Alligator mississippiensis: one gene and its partner. The protein of the gene in region 1 interacts with the protein of each later gene in a pairwise test. Links are inferred from orthologs where the notes say so. Each region holds a gene or a part of one and is shown on either strand. Other genes may lie near its edges.

What was found. The genes of interacting proteins can lie anywhere in the genome.
Region 2: the proteins of NEIL2 (region 1) and MEOX1 interact in binary tests that used the Homo sapiens proteins (3 or more experiments, as listed by UniProt). The two-hybrid records come from large-scale screens. The link is inferred for Alligator mississippiensis from reciprocal best matches to the Homo sapiens genes NEIL2 and MEOX1.

The regions. Positions count from the first base shown.
Region 1 is NC_081824.1:8,147,165-8,154,246, reverse strand, and holds the start of NEIL2 (endonuclease 8-like 2), read right to left. Parts: upstream 3,005-7,082; 5' UTR 1,795-3,004; coding exon 1,657-1,794; intron 1-1,656. UniProt on the Homo sapiens protein: Involved in base excision repair of DNA damaged by oxidation or by mutagenic agents. Has DNA glycosylase activity towards 5-hydroxyuracil and other oxidized derivatives of cytosine with a preference for mismatched double-stranded DNA (DNA bubbles).
Region 2 is NC_081827.1:153,166,820-153,173,646, reverse strand, and holds the start of MEOX1 (homeobox protein MOX-1), read left to right. Parts: upstream 1-3,806; 5' UTR 3,807-4,115; coding exon 4,116-4,566; intron 4,567-6,827. UniProt on the Homo sapiens protein: Mesodermal transcription factor that plays a key role in somitogenesis and is specifically required for sclerotome development. Required for maintenance of the sclerotome polarity and formation of the cranio-cervical joints.

The DNA of each region.
Region 1 (7,082 bases):
GTCATTTATGAAGATAACCAGAGGAACCTCAGAATATCTGAAGGCTTGCATGTTCCTCAATTGTACGTTCAAATCAGAGATACTGGTATCAGAGGGTTATGAAGAGAGGCAAAACCTTTTTCTGAACCAACAGATACAGTTGACAGAAATGAGAAACAAGCTCTTGGGCTTCGAAAGCTCTTCATCAAGTCTCTGAAGACGTCCGGGATCTCTGGAAGGAGCCGAAGAGGCGAGTCAACAATCTTCTTGGAGAGGTTTCCAATCCCCATAAACAAGGGAAAGGAGAAATACGGAGATGAACCATCAGCTATGAGGTCTGTGGCAAGCTGAAGGTTTTGGTCATGTGGAAAGTAGGTCTGTGTTCTTGCTGGAGAGGGATCCATGAGAGTACATGGCCTGCAAATGATGAGCAGGGAGAATGACCTCCTCAGATGGGGAGTATCTGGATCAGTCAGGAAGACAATAAACCAGGACGGCCTGGGGACGGGGGAATGCAGTCCAGGTGCTTCAACTTTCTGGGCAGACATGGCTCTGAAATCACCCATCCTTGAGAACCAGGTGGGAGTGCCGGTGCATTGCTCGCTGAGGGAGCTGCAGCAGTTGTTCATCAAAGCCAGTCTTGCTGGTCCTGGAAAAGCAGCAGCATCAGTGGATGGAAGGAGCTTGTATCCAAGCCAACCCGGGCTCACCCACCTGTTGATAACCACTGCGCTTGGCAGAAGACTGTTGGAACGAGCATCACCATTTGCAGACAGATCCTGGAAAGGGGGCTACTGAGTGATTTTGGCCAGCAGCATCTGGTTCTCATTCTGCCTTGGGAAATCCCAAGGAAGAGCTGGGGGAAGGGATGCTGGGGCTCAGAGGGCCGCTTCCAGCCCTATGTGGCACATGCAGGGAAATGTTCCCCAGCAGGCCCCGGGCACTGCTTCTGCAGGACGGCTGCTTCGTCTCCAGTTCAGGCAGGGCAGAGAACAGCAGCAGGTGCCTGCTGCCCCTATATGAAACAGCCCTGAGCAAGGGCAGGGAGGAAAGGTGAATCTAATCCCAACTTCTGCCTTCTGGGCAAGAGGGCAGACATAAAGGTACTATGCCGAAGCCAGTAGGACTTCCCCTCCCTTTTGTGCAGTAGCAAGGAGGTGAGGAGGAGAGGACGCCCCTTCTTCCTGAGCAGTCAGGTGGGGAGAGACCTCAAGCACATCACTGCTGTGCCAACAGCTTCCAGCACAGCTCGTATTTTGCTTGTCTCTGCAAGAGCCTCTGAGGATGCTTTGGCCTTGGAAGATGATGGGCCAAAGGCTCAACTTTCACTGGGGAGTTAAACTTGTCCAGAGTGCCAACCATTTGGAAAGCAAAAGCATTCTGGGTAATTGCACATGCACAGTCTTGCTCCACCTGAACCTTTTCAGGAGCTCAGTTTTACAAGTACAGGTGGAGCCAGACAGAGAGCCACCTGCGAGTGCCCAGGGGTCACTACTCAGAGGTGCATTTCTATTTTTCCTTGTAGCCAGGGTAGGTAGCCCTTCAGCCTGTCTGTAGCCAAGTTAATCTCTCGCTGCCGTGCCTTATGGTAACCCTCTCTGTGTTGGCCAGGCCAGCACTCTAGCGTGAGCAAGGAGCCGACATGCACAGACAAGGCTGCCTTTCAGCACGACTCACCTGGGAGTCCCGGAGCTCCAGTCCTTGCAGCTCATTCAGGCTAATCTGTCGGCTGCTTCCTCCTGCCTTGGCCACCACCTGCCCCACGAAAGGTGAGGTCAGCAACTGGAACTTCCTCACGGACGGGCCTTCCGGCATCTCGGATGCCGTCAAGGGAGCAGCAGGGATACCGCTGAGATGCCTTGAGCCAGGTCACCCTACTGCTGAGGAACATAGACAGTGATTCTCCCCATCTCTGTGCACCCCCTAAATCATGTGCTCAGTCTGTTGGCTGCAGCAGACTGTACCAATGCCCCTGTTTCAGATCAAACTGCTTCATGATGCCAGAGCCACTCAGCTGCAGCAGCATGAGAACAGATCGCAGTTATATCAGGGTAGAGATGCTCGTTCCTGGCAATGACTGCTACACTTGGGAGGCTGCACTACATTAGTTCCACCAGTTTCAAACCACTGGCATTAAACAGTGCAAATTTGGGGACCAGACATGCCCACAGGCAGCTCCAAGTCACAGAGGAGGTGGGTGAGCAAGAGGCCTCCGAGCTGCCTGGTTTCCTGCTCTGACTCCTAGGGGCTTCTACTGATCTTGAACAAAATGCAAATCCCACCGTGCATCAGCGATCCCATGCTGGGCGGTTGAAATCTCCGGGCTCCAAGAACACACTTTAGTCCGAGCCCTGATACACTGGAGCTCTGGCGGGCCAGAAGCTAACTGGACAGGTTGCCTGTCTCCAATGAGTAAGGGGACACAAACCTTAACTCCTGGGTCACCGCTCTGTAACTAGCCACGCTCAGGAGGAGCAGAAGGATGCACTTTCCACAGAGCCTAAGTGACTTAGGAGCCTAAATCTGACTGAAAACCAAAGGAGAGTCAGGTTCCCAAGTGTTTAAGTCATTCTGAACACTCATTTAGACAACCCCATCAAGGTTTGCAGGCTGGGTCTGGGTGCCAGGAGACTTTCATTCATTTAAATCACAATAATAATTGCTGCCGCTCACTAGGCACCATTACAGAAACCCCCCGAACCGTGGTATTGCAACAGCACTCAACATTAGAGGTGTCTGCAGAGTGGGCATAGACTGGGCAGGCCTGACGTCCAGCCCCTCACTGCGTGCGAGCTGGGGAAGCAGGGGAGAGAAAGGTTGGGGACCATTTTTAAATCCCCTTCATGCTCGGCGAGGCCAAGGATTGGAGCCCTTGGCTTCTTGGCTGCCTGTAACCTGCCCAGCACAATGCTGCTCTACACTAATCATCTGCCTTTGAAACAAGAAGTGTTGAGTCAGGAGAATGCAACATGTCCTGGGGAGAGCGGGTCTGGAGGTAGCTGCTGCCTGCACCCCCAGGCCTGGGAGCATCCCTGCTGCACCCCTGCACCTCTGCCCTGCAGCTGGCAGGCAGCACCCCCTGGCCAGGCCTGCTCAGTCCAACACCGAGCGGCCGCTCCCCGGAGCAATCGAGCGTCGAGCAACCGATCGGCCCTGGGAAGTGGGTGCAGCTGCAGCAGGGCGCAGGGCGCTGCACCCTGGGGGAGGAGGGGAGAGGGGTATTTGCATATGCAAAACGGACAGAGACCCCCAAATCCCCAGGGCACCTGCCCCTCCTTGCATGCCCAATTCCCCCCCCAGCCCAGCCTCTGACTCCCCAGCCCTCTGCTCCCCTTCCCAGCCCTGCTACCCCACTCAGCTAAGCCCCTTCCCCCAATCTGCCCCCCACCCCAGCCAGTCCTTTACCCCCCAGCCCTCCCCTCTCTCCCTAACCTGCACTCCAGGCTGCCCCTACTCACCGCTGCCCCCTCCACCTGCTTCCCCAGCTTGGCCTCCTTCCCAGGAAAAGCTGGGTCTCAACCTAATTGGCTAGCAGGTGGGCAAGGGGCGGGGCTTCCAAAACTGGGCACACCCACCCCACCAGTTCCCCCAGTCCTGGAGACTGAACTGGGCAATGAGGCTGAAGTTGGCTCCTTGTTCCCATTTCCTCATTCCCAGTTCCCTATTCCTTATTCCCCGTTCCTGGTTCCTTTTTCAAAGCTAATCTAGACCCAATAAAAACTTGTTATTAATGAATTCCACACCCTAAAGAAAGAGAATTTCATTAGCTTTGCATATGTACTAATTAATATGCAAAATAATATTCCACATCAAGTACAGAGCCCTAAATGAAGGTCAGATTAGGAATAGGGAACTGGGAATAAGGAACTGGGAATAAGGAATAGGGAACTGGGAATAAGGAACCAACTTCAGCCTCATACTGGGCACAGGTAGGTGGAGAGGGAGGCTGGCAGCCAGGATCTGAAGTTGCAGCACATCTGCTGCCCTTACCATTCCTGAAAGCCGCCGTCCTGCAGAGATTTGGCCAGGGGTTGAGCTCTGGGCCTGGCAGTAGTACACGGATTTCTCTAGGGCAACCCCTGGGCACAGGCAGCCTCCTCTACTCACCCCAGCACCAGGGACTCATTGCATGCACATCAACCCACCTGTGGATACTCTTATTTGGTTCGAGAGAGACTTATCTCACATTAATCAGCCAAAGCTCAAACAACAGCATGCTAAGGAAAAGCATGCCAAGAAAACAGTGAAGGGTGCAAAGTCTAGCCATCCAAAGTCAGGGCACGTCAGAATCCCAGTCGCGCAGGTGGCTCTTATTTGATTTGTGTATTTAATTAATTTGATTTGCATTTTACTTGCAATTATTGGTGGAATTCACTGCCACAGGACAGGGTGGCTAATACTTTAGAAGGCAAGGTGGTTTTGAACCTTGTAGACTAACCCAAGTAGCAATATATATATCTCGCTACTTTGGTTGGTGTGTGTGTCCATACATACATACATACATACATACACACACACACACACACACACACACATATATATATATATATATACATGTATATATATACACATGTATGTGTAAATACACACACACACACATATATAGACATATATACATGTATATATATACACATATATACATATGTATGTGTAAATACACACACACACACACATATATATATGGCACAAACTTTTGTGGGCTGAAGCTCTCTTCATCAGATGGGAGCACAGCAGTTAGGGGACAGCCTCTGTGTCAGACCTTCCCAGACCTTAAATGCTGGAGGCTACAGGTGAGAGAAGAATAGGGGGAAAAACCCTGGTCGTACCCCATTCACTCTCCCTTTCACCCTCCTCTCTCTTCCGCTGTGTGGCACTGGAGACTGAGGAAGACGGATCTATGATCTGACCCGGTAAATGGCAGGTCTTACATTCTCATGTAGGTGCAAGGTGCAAAAAGCAGTGTATCCAGAGAAATTTGAATATAAAAAGCAAGGGACGGGGAGAGGGAGAAGGGGGAGGGAGGGCAGTGTGCGAGAGGCAAACAAACAAGCAACCAGGGTACGCTTCATCCGTGGGTATAAAACACCTTAGTTAGGGTGAACCCTCCAAACGAGGCCTTCCTAGGCCTCCGAATGCTGGGAGATGAAGGGGGCTGATCCAGATCAGTCTGGACAGGCCCTAGGTAAATACAGTTCCCCTAAGCATCTGCTCCATGCCACAGTGAGGGACACGTCTATCCGTCACATTAGGTTTGGTGGGCCTAGACCCACCGAGAAAACTATATGCCTACCTGAGTTAGGGAGGCCACCAGACACAGAACAAGAGATTCTGGGAACAGCAAAAGATCAGAGCAAACAGGGCTGGAAGGATAAAAACAAGGGTTGAAAGATGGGTATCTGGTACCATGTAAACCAGCACAGCCTGTTCAATGGTCTGGTTGTCAGCGACTAAACCGGCATCCCCACCTAGACTAGCCTAGGTGAGGAGGGTGGGCGGACATCCATCAGGGCTAAAAGCAAGACCTGTCAAAGGGCAGAGGAGCTCCCTGCGAGCCAACAGCCATCCAACCCTGGAGAGGTGGATGCCACCAGGTCGCTCTGCCCGAAGAATCACCAATGATGAAAAGCAACTCAACTAACCTAGGAGGGTTGTTACAGCATCGAAGGTGTCCCAGCAGTTGCAGCAGCCTCAGGACTGACTTGACTTGACTCAAAGTGGGGTACCGAGCAGATCACACTGCCCAGCGACCGCTGCCCCTTGAACGAGTCCAAGGAACCAGCGGATGCCGCCCAGTGAAACTCTGCTAGGAGACATGGGTGAAGAAGTGATCCTAGGACCCACCCATGCCCCCAGTCACCCTGGTTCCTCCTGGCCAGAGCCTCCTTCTTGGTCTGATCATTTTTATTTAAGGAAAATGTTTTGTGTCCCACGTCAAATGAGCCAAATCAATTCCAAATCCATGTGAGTCATTCAAGAGCATATACGGCCCTGCTACCAGCAAGCATCCTTCACCCCAGCCTGGTCTTCTGACTTCCTCTGATGCCGAGTCCGTGACACGAAGGCCCACTCAACCCTCCACAGGCCACGCTGGGCAGCGCACCACGCATGAACCAGAATCACTGCAGATCCACCACATACTTATTTCAGTGCAAGAAAAAATAAGAAAGAAGGAAACTTGATTATTTTTATTACCATTGTTGTATTTCCATTAGTCCTAAAGGTGTAGAAGTTATGTGGATTGGTAGCCATACTACATCATATTATAATATAGTTTTTTTTACATCTTTAAATAATTACAGCTTGTTCAGTTTGGGTTTTTTTCCCCCCCCGCAACAAATGCACCTCTCTTTCCATGGGACCTTCCCAATGAGTTTGGGAAGCTGCAAACTTTATAGAAGGACAAAAAAAATAAAAAGCAAAACAGAACAAAAACCCCACAACGCAGTCACAGCTTCAGGGCTCTATTAAGGATTGTTGATCAGCATTAAAGCGCCCATCAAAATGCCTTTAACTCCTCCTGATCAGAGTTTCGAATCAGCCAGTGAGATTGCTGTCTAAATACAGATCTTTTCTGATCACCAGGAAAACAAATGTAGCGGCGATTAAAGATATTGCACTGTCACAAAGAGGAAAAACAATCAGAATTGGTTAATGACCTTTCTAGCCCCCCATTCTCAGCCAGACTTCCCCCCGTGCCCCTGTACAGCCCACAACAGAGGTCTGATTTTATTGGGACCTGATCTCGAAACTGCACATGGGAGTAACCCCCTTTGCTTTTCGGGGGTACTCACAGGAGTCAATTTATACAGGAGAGGTTGCAGGATTATGCTCGTTAGGGGGGAATGGTTTTTACCCTGTCTCTGTGCAGGACTTAACGTAAGAGGGCCCCAATTGAGCAATGCAAATAATAAATCCTCATCTTGTCTTTCTGAGCATTGCTTGAGCGCCCTGAATGGGAGGAAGGGGTGGCATTCTGCTAACGGACTGAAGGAAAGGCTCCTGTAGTTTAGTCCCCCGGTTTTGTATCTCGGGCAGCGCCCCAAGATCTCCCAACTTCTGGATTCCTCGGTGTGATGTCCCTTTCCAGCCCCACTCTGGCTCAC
Region 2 (6,827 bases), on another chromosome or scaffold:
GGGGACTTGGGCAAGAGAGCTATTGGGTGGGGTGGGGCCGGCCCTGCATGCTGCTGCCACTTGCAGCTGGGGACTGGCCTGGGGGTGCAGGGAGCTATGTGCTGTGGGGCTGGGTGCATAAGGACTCAGGGCACACTCAGCTTCAGGGATTCACACACTCCAGGGACCATGGGCAACTGGTGCCACCTTAGTCAGGGGGGGAACATACCTCCCCAGCGACCAGTCAGTGACTGGAGGGGAGTCCCCTGTGGCCAATCTCACCAACTGGAGGGGGGGGTGTCCCTCGTAGCTGATTGCACTGACCGGGAAATGGCCACAGAGCTCCCAGAAGTGGCTGCGACACTCCCACCTGCTCCCCCTGCCCGTCACCTAAGCAGGGAGTGCAGCCTGTCAGGGGGGGCACCAGCATTCTCAGGGGGTGCACGTGCACCCTGTGCACCCCCTATGTTTCGCCACTGCCAGGGACTCTGAGGACTCCCCCACCCCAACACACGCACACACACGCACCCACACCCTCCCACACACCCCATCCCAACCAGATACCCCCCATCCACCCACTTCCACATCCACCCACCATACCCACACTGTACCACCCACAATATATAAGAGTAAGACTGTATTTTGAGTTATCATGCAATCACCTCAAGATACACTATGCAAACACACAGAAATCAGGACAAGATTAAAAAAAAAAAAATTAAAGTAAGTTATAGTACGTTTGATTCTTTTAGTATATGATTTGGTTTTTTTCCAGCGTCAAGATGGCAAACCTCCACCCCCAAAAGGAGTACTACTGGGACAAGGGGAGGGACTTCTAGCAGCAAAGGTTAGGGGTTAGGGGCCAGGACTTCTGGTTCCCAGCTGGTGACCAGGGGGTGGGGGCACTTGTCAAGGGAAAGGGCTATCCTTGCAGCCCTCGACAGTTCCCCAAAACTCATTAAGCGGCCCCCAGCCAAAATAATTGCGCACTCCTTTATTAGTAGAGTTCGCTTCCTCAGAGAAGGGTTACTTGTTTTCATGTAGCACCACTCGTGTTAAAGGATCTTTACTGAACAACAGAATGACAGGTTCTCTGTCTCTGGAGGGGCAGATAATCTAAATGTAGAAGACACAAGCAACAGAGTGGGGATGGGATAAAATATAGAAGGGAAAAGATGGATTTGTTGTTTTTTAAATCAGTCAGTTTGTTCCAAGCTGTTGGGGTAGAGATAAAATGATAATTTCTTTTGTTACCAGCAGTTCTAACCCACTTTCTTGCTTTAGACAGCATAACCAGAAAATCACCCGCCACTTCCAATAGCAATTAAGCATAGTTTGTATTGTCTGCTTGGTGCATCTCACAGATCTTCAACTATTATTACTAGTATCACAAAGTACAAGGAAGACCCAGTGGAACTCAGGGCCTTGTACCCACAAAAAATAAGAGACAGTCACTACCCTGATGAGTTTACATATAAGACATACAAGGGATGGGAAAAGGATGCATTATTATACCCATGTTACAAGTAGAGAACTGAGGCCCAGGTAGGCTAAGGGCTAAATCCTATTTCACCTTCACTTAAGTGGCATAGCTGGGTTAGTACAACTTTTGGCCTTTATGCACAGAGCAGATTCTATTTGTGCGTTTGTAGTTATTCTTGCCCTGCGCTTCTCTTCTGCAAATGTTTGGTCTTCTGCACTCAGTCCATGTAGGCTCCATGGTAGGATAGAATCACCTGGGCGCACACATAATATTGTGTAAGTCTGAAAATTTTTGTCATGGAAAAGCCACGACTAGCAAATAGTTGATGTTGTAGGTTCTGTACCTAAAGGCTTCCCTTCACCTTACATTTAATATGCATTGGCTAAAATAGCTTTGAGATAGCTTCTGTCCCACTCGGGGCAGAATCCAGGACAATAAACAAGAGACCTTTCCCTTCTAGGGAGGCGTTTCTCTTACCCCTTTGGCTTACTTCACTTCCTCCTGGTGGTCCCAAGTAACTTCCCCTCCTGGAAGCCCAGTGAGACAGCTTCAAGAAGAGAGCTAGTATATTCTGAGTACTGCCTAGTGCATGGTTTTGTGGTTCCAGCACTTGGCTGAGCCATGGGAGAAAAAAGTGCAAACTCACTCTGGCTGGGGAGGGCCTACATCCTGGATCTCCTTCTTCCTGGGCAAGCACCCTAAATGTAGGCTGAAAAGGGGGAGGGGCTGGCCTCCTCTGTTTTACTTTGAGCAGGTACGTGAACAATCCTATTCTACCACAGATGGAAACAGAATCCAAATTGTGCATAAGCATCAAAAACTGTGGTTACAGAGCTATATAGACGCTACTTAGGAATGTAAAGGTGAGATTGGATTTAGCCCTAAGTGACTTGCTCAAAGTCGCACTGGAAATCTGTGGCAGAACTGAAATAAGAACAGTTTCAATCATTCACCACAAGAGCTTACTTCCAATCATGAGGGACTGCAGCATTTTGTGGTCTATCAGGGAGGTGATAAGGACACATAACATGATTTCTTCTTTGCTGAGTGGTATGATAAAGGCAATGTATGCCATCACCTTTCTCACAAGTTCTGTCTCTCGTGATTTGTTTTAGAAGCCAAAATCTTGGCAGGTGGGATCAGCTGAGTCCACTGTCAAAGCTACTTGATCTGTAGCCTGTTGGTGATGTGATTCATTTTGGTATACTTGTCTGGAACAATACGACAAGGAGGGTATTATGTCTTGTCCACTGGGATGCTTGTCTTTCTCTAGAAACATCATTTTACTTTGGGTAACACTATCCCTGGATAGCAAGAGGATCATTATAATTAAATAATGAAGTACCTGTGAGTGTTATATTTCCTAGCAATCACTTGCTTTTTAATCCTGACAATGTAGCAGGGTCCTGAGGAATGTGTGCTGGAGGGGAAGGCAGATAGGAGATGCAAATGTGATGGACATACACTATATTCTGGTGCTGTGTAGATATCAGTACTTTCCTTGAGGCAAGCTACAGAGTGGCTTTGGCACAGCTCATGAGAGCAATATGTTCTGACTATTCCCCACCCACACTTCTTTCTAGGAAAAAGGTGGAGGCAGCTTCCGTGTTAACATCCTTCTGACTACGATTGCTATACAGGCAGAGAATCCATTCAATTAACACAAACTGAATAAAAAAAACAAAGAAAACAAAACAACACTCCCCCCCCCCCTTTGAATAAAAGATGAAAAAAGTCTCTTTACCAGGAAAACAGACTTCTTTTCAGAGAACACAATGAGAGATGCAGCAGGGATTATCCTTTGCCACTGGCAACAAAATCTTCATATCAGCAAATCTGCCTGAAACAGAGTCAACAAAAGTTGTTCATAAAACCTTGGATAAAAAAAAAAAAATCAGGTTTATTTTTTTAACTTATGATTGGCCCTTAAATCAACTGCAATCAGTAAAGTTCTCTCTTCATTTTATTTCCTGTTATAGTCCCTGGAATTTGGCATCTGTTGCATTCTGGATCTGGTTTAGGGCTTTTTCCAAATCCAAGACTTGGGGAATTTTGTTAACAGTGCAATAAAAATAACTTCATAGTGTTACAGGGAAACATTAAAGCCTTTTTGTGTGCTGCTCTTTTCCTTTTAAAAAAAAAATACAGACAATGTTTCTTTAAAAGTCTCCATCTGCAAATCCCATTAGATGTGCATATAAGGTTTCGGATGATTAATAGTTGCCTGCTTTGCTTTGGTTGGAGGGGCTGAGTGTATGCAAGTTAACCCCTCCCTCCTCTCTCTCACATTTCACTTCACAAACTTGTCGCCCACTCCCCAGCACAGTATTTAAAAAGTGTTTCACCCATGTCCAGCATTTCACAGGGAGGCAACTCCAGGCCCTGGGAAACAATTCAGGCCAATTGCAGTATAGAATTGATTAATGTTTTCCAGCTACAACAATGAAGATGTTTAGTGGAGGTCCCAAACTAACAAATTGGCTACCAAGCAAACCCACAAACTAGCTGTATTTTAGCAGGGGTGGGGAAATCCAATTCTGGGGGGTTTTTTTCATAAAAGTTCAAAGTTGTTTTTTCCCTTCTCTCGTGTTCTTGAAGACTGAGACAAACCCAGCTACAGCCTCTGGAGCGTGGACAGATATAGAGCTGGCAAATGGATCCTTCCATGAGCAGCTGCATGCGGAGTCCCCATCCCAATACCCCACTTTGGGGGTGTCTACGGAACGGCACCACGGAGGTCAGCACTGCATCCGGGCTGAATCATTACCCTCAAGCACCTTTCTCATTCCATCAAAAACCAGACTTTGCTACATATTCCGATTTCTCAGCCTCCTGCCTGGCCACTGCGCCCCACAGCTTCCCTCGAGAGGAACGCGGGTTTGCAGAGCAGCATCCTTCCTTCCAGCCTTCCGACTGGCACTTTGCAGCCTCTGAGGCCAGAAGGCGACTAAATCCTGGACTGGCTTTGGGTTCTGGGGAGCTAGAAGGTGGCAGCCCAAACCTGGTGGGTGCTGCAGAGAGTGTGAATGAAGAGTATGGGGTACCAGGCAACAGTACTAATGAAACTGAGAAAAAGGCTTCCAGAAGGAAAAAGGAAAACTCAGGTAAGTGACATATCACTAGGGATGTGGGATAGCAAAATCTCCTCGGCCAGAGCGCCCATTAACTTCCACAGCACAGAAATTAGAAAAAGAAACCCGAGAGACTTATGTTTTAGAATTCCTGTCTAGGGAAAAGGTGTAGCTGGCCATATGGGACACTAACACTGAAACTAAATTGTTTTCTGTTTGATGCTTCCTGGTGTGTTTTTCCAAATCTTGCTGCCAAAACTAGCTACTTCCTCCATCCTCATGATGTAGCCTTTTTGTGTGTGAAAGAATCACATGGTGTTCTGCACATGGAGCTCACAGCCCTCCAACACATAATCTATGGCTCGGCTGCCATTTGTCTCAGCATGAAGTGATGAGAGTCAAAGGGCAAGGCAGCCTGGGATAGTGTCTTGCAAATCTCAACTCTAAACTAGTTAGCAATTACTATTACTAACCTATTAAGAAGTTAGATGAGGGTCAAGGCAATCAAGAGTAGTACAGACTTAGTTAGGAATAAACAGGAGCCAGCTCCCACTCCCTGACTTTTAAAGAGGTAAAATTAGGAAGGCAAATGAAGACTGGCTTGCTAAATGCATTCTTCTACAGTAGCAGGTGCCCTAGCATTTAGTACAGGCTCTCGGGGGTTATTCATTTTGTTCTTTGATGTCTGTGCAGTTAGGTACCAGCATCTGAAGGAAACATTCCAGTTCTACTAACTGTTTGTGAAGGGAATAGCATCTGTATTCACTACAGATCACAGGCTGTCTTCTAGTTCCCTACAGCAGTTGGCAATACTCCTTATTGCAGTGTCATTTTGTCATTAGTTTGTGTAGCCAGATGCATTTAAAGTAGCTTTCAGCTTTCTAACATATGAGGTGTCTACTCTTGTCCCCCGTGTGGTGTCTAATCCCACTCTCTGTGTTGATCTGACTGAGTTTTAATACGCTCAACTCAAATCCAAAATCAAAGCTTCTTTTAGCAACTCACCCGTCAGACAAGTCACCAGCATGCTTTGTCCTCAGCTGCAGAGAGAATGATACATACAGTTGAATTGCACTGTTTTACCTAGGAAAAACAAGTTATTTCCACACCCTAGAATCTCACAGCCAGTTAGCTACTGACTTGCTGTTACCTCACTTGTTCAGCAGTGTTAAATACAGAAATTAAGATAAAGGTGGGGGGGTTTGTAAGGAAGCTGTCAATTGAAGGGTTTTTATGCAGCTTTTCCTAACTATAGGATCTGTACACCTCACAAACTGTGACTGATTTATCTTCAGAGCATGCATATAAGAGACAACTGAAGCACAAAAAATGAAATGTTTTCTCCAAGGTTCCATATGTTATCCATAGCAGAGCTACGAATTCAGTCCAGATCTCCTGAGTCTCTGCCTTGCAATTAAACAAGAGAATATTTTCCCTCTCTCTCTCTCTCTCTGTCTGTCTCTCTCTCTCTCCATGGTTAGCCCTAATAACTGATTATGATTGTCTCCCATTTCTGTTTCCCCCTAGACACTGACAGGCTGTCGGTGCATATCTGAAACATCTAGTAATGCAACCCTTTCTTTGTTCCAGAGTCCAAGTTACTCCCTTTCATGCATTTATGATCTCTTGAAACCCAGGTAGAATTTATGACCATCTACAGCTGCACTCCCTCTCTGTCTCCCTCTTCCACCCAACACCTCCCTCCTCCCTCCCCCCCAAAAAAACCCCTTACAGAAGAATCCTTACAGAACAATGTTATTGTAATGTTGGGGTGATGTTGTAGGTGTCCAGGAAATACGTGAGAGGCATGGATACCCCAGCTACATGTCTGGGTTAGTTTTAGACGAGCTTTCAGATGAGGGCATTCTTGGGTAAAACCATCCCGACCATGCAGTTTGTCCAATGATAGATATCACTCTCCAAAATCTTTGCTCCCCTACAGAACAATACAATTTTAAGTTATTAAGTTCCTAACAATTCATGAGTTGGTGGGAGATCTCACCCCAATCACATTATCAGGGCACAGTTAGCAAATTGAGAATATTCCAAAGCATGTGCCCATGTGTTAAATGGAAAGCAAATGGTCCTTGGCACCTTTTACTTGCTTACTGCTGTGAGCAGCCTTGACACTCTCTTCTCCCACTTGCTGCCTGCACACCTGTCATTACAGGGGAACTATAAACAACCCATACATGATATCACCAAAATACAAATTGATTTCCTGCTTCCCGACCAACTGTTATTTTCATTAGTCTGCTTTCTCTAGTTTAACACTTTGCACAGACTGTGTTCCA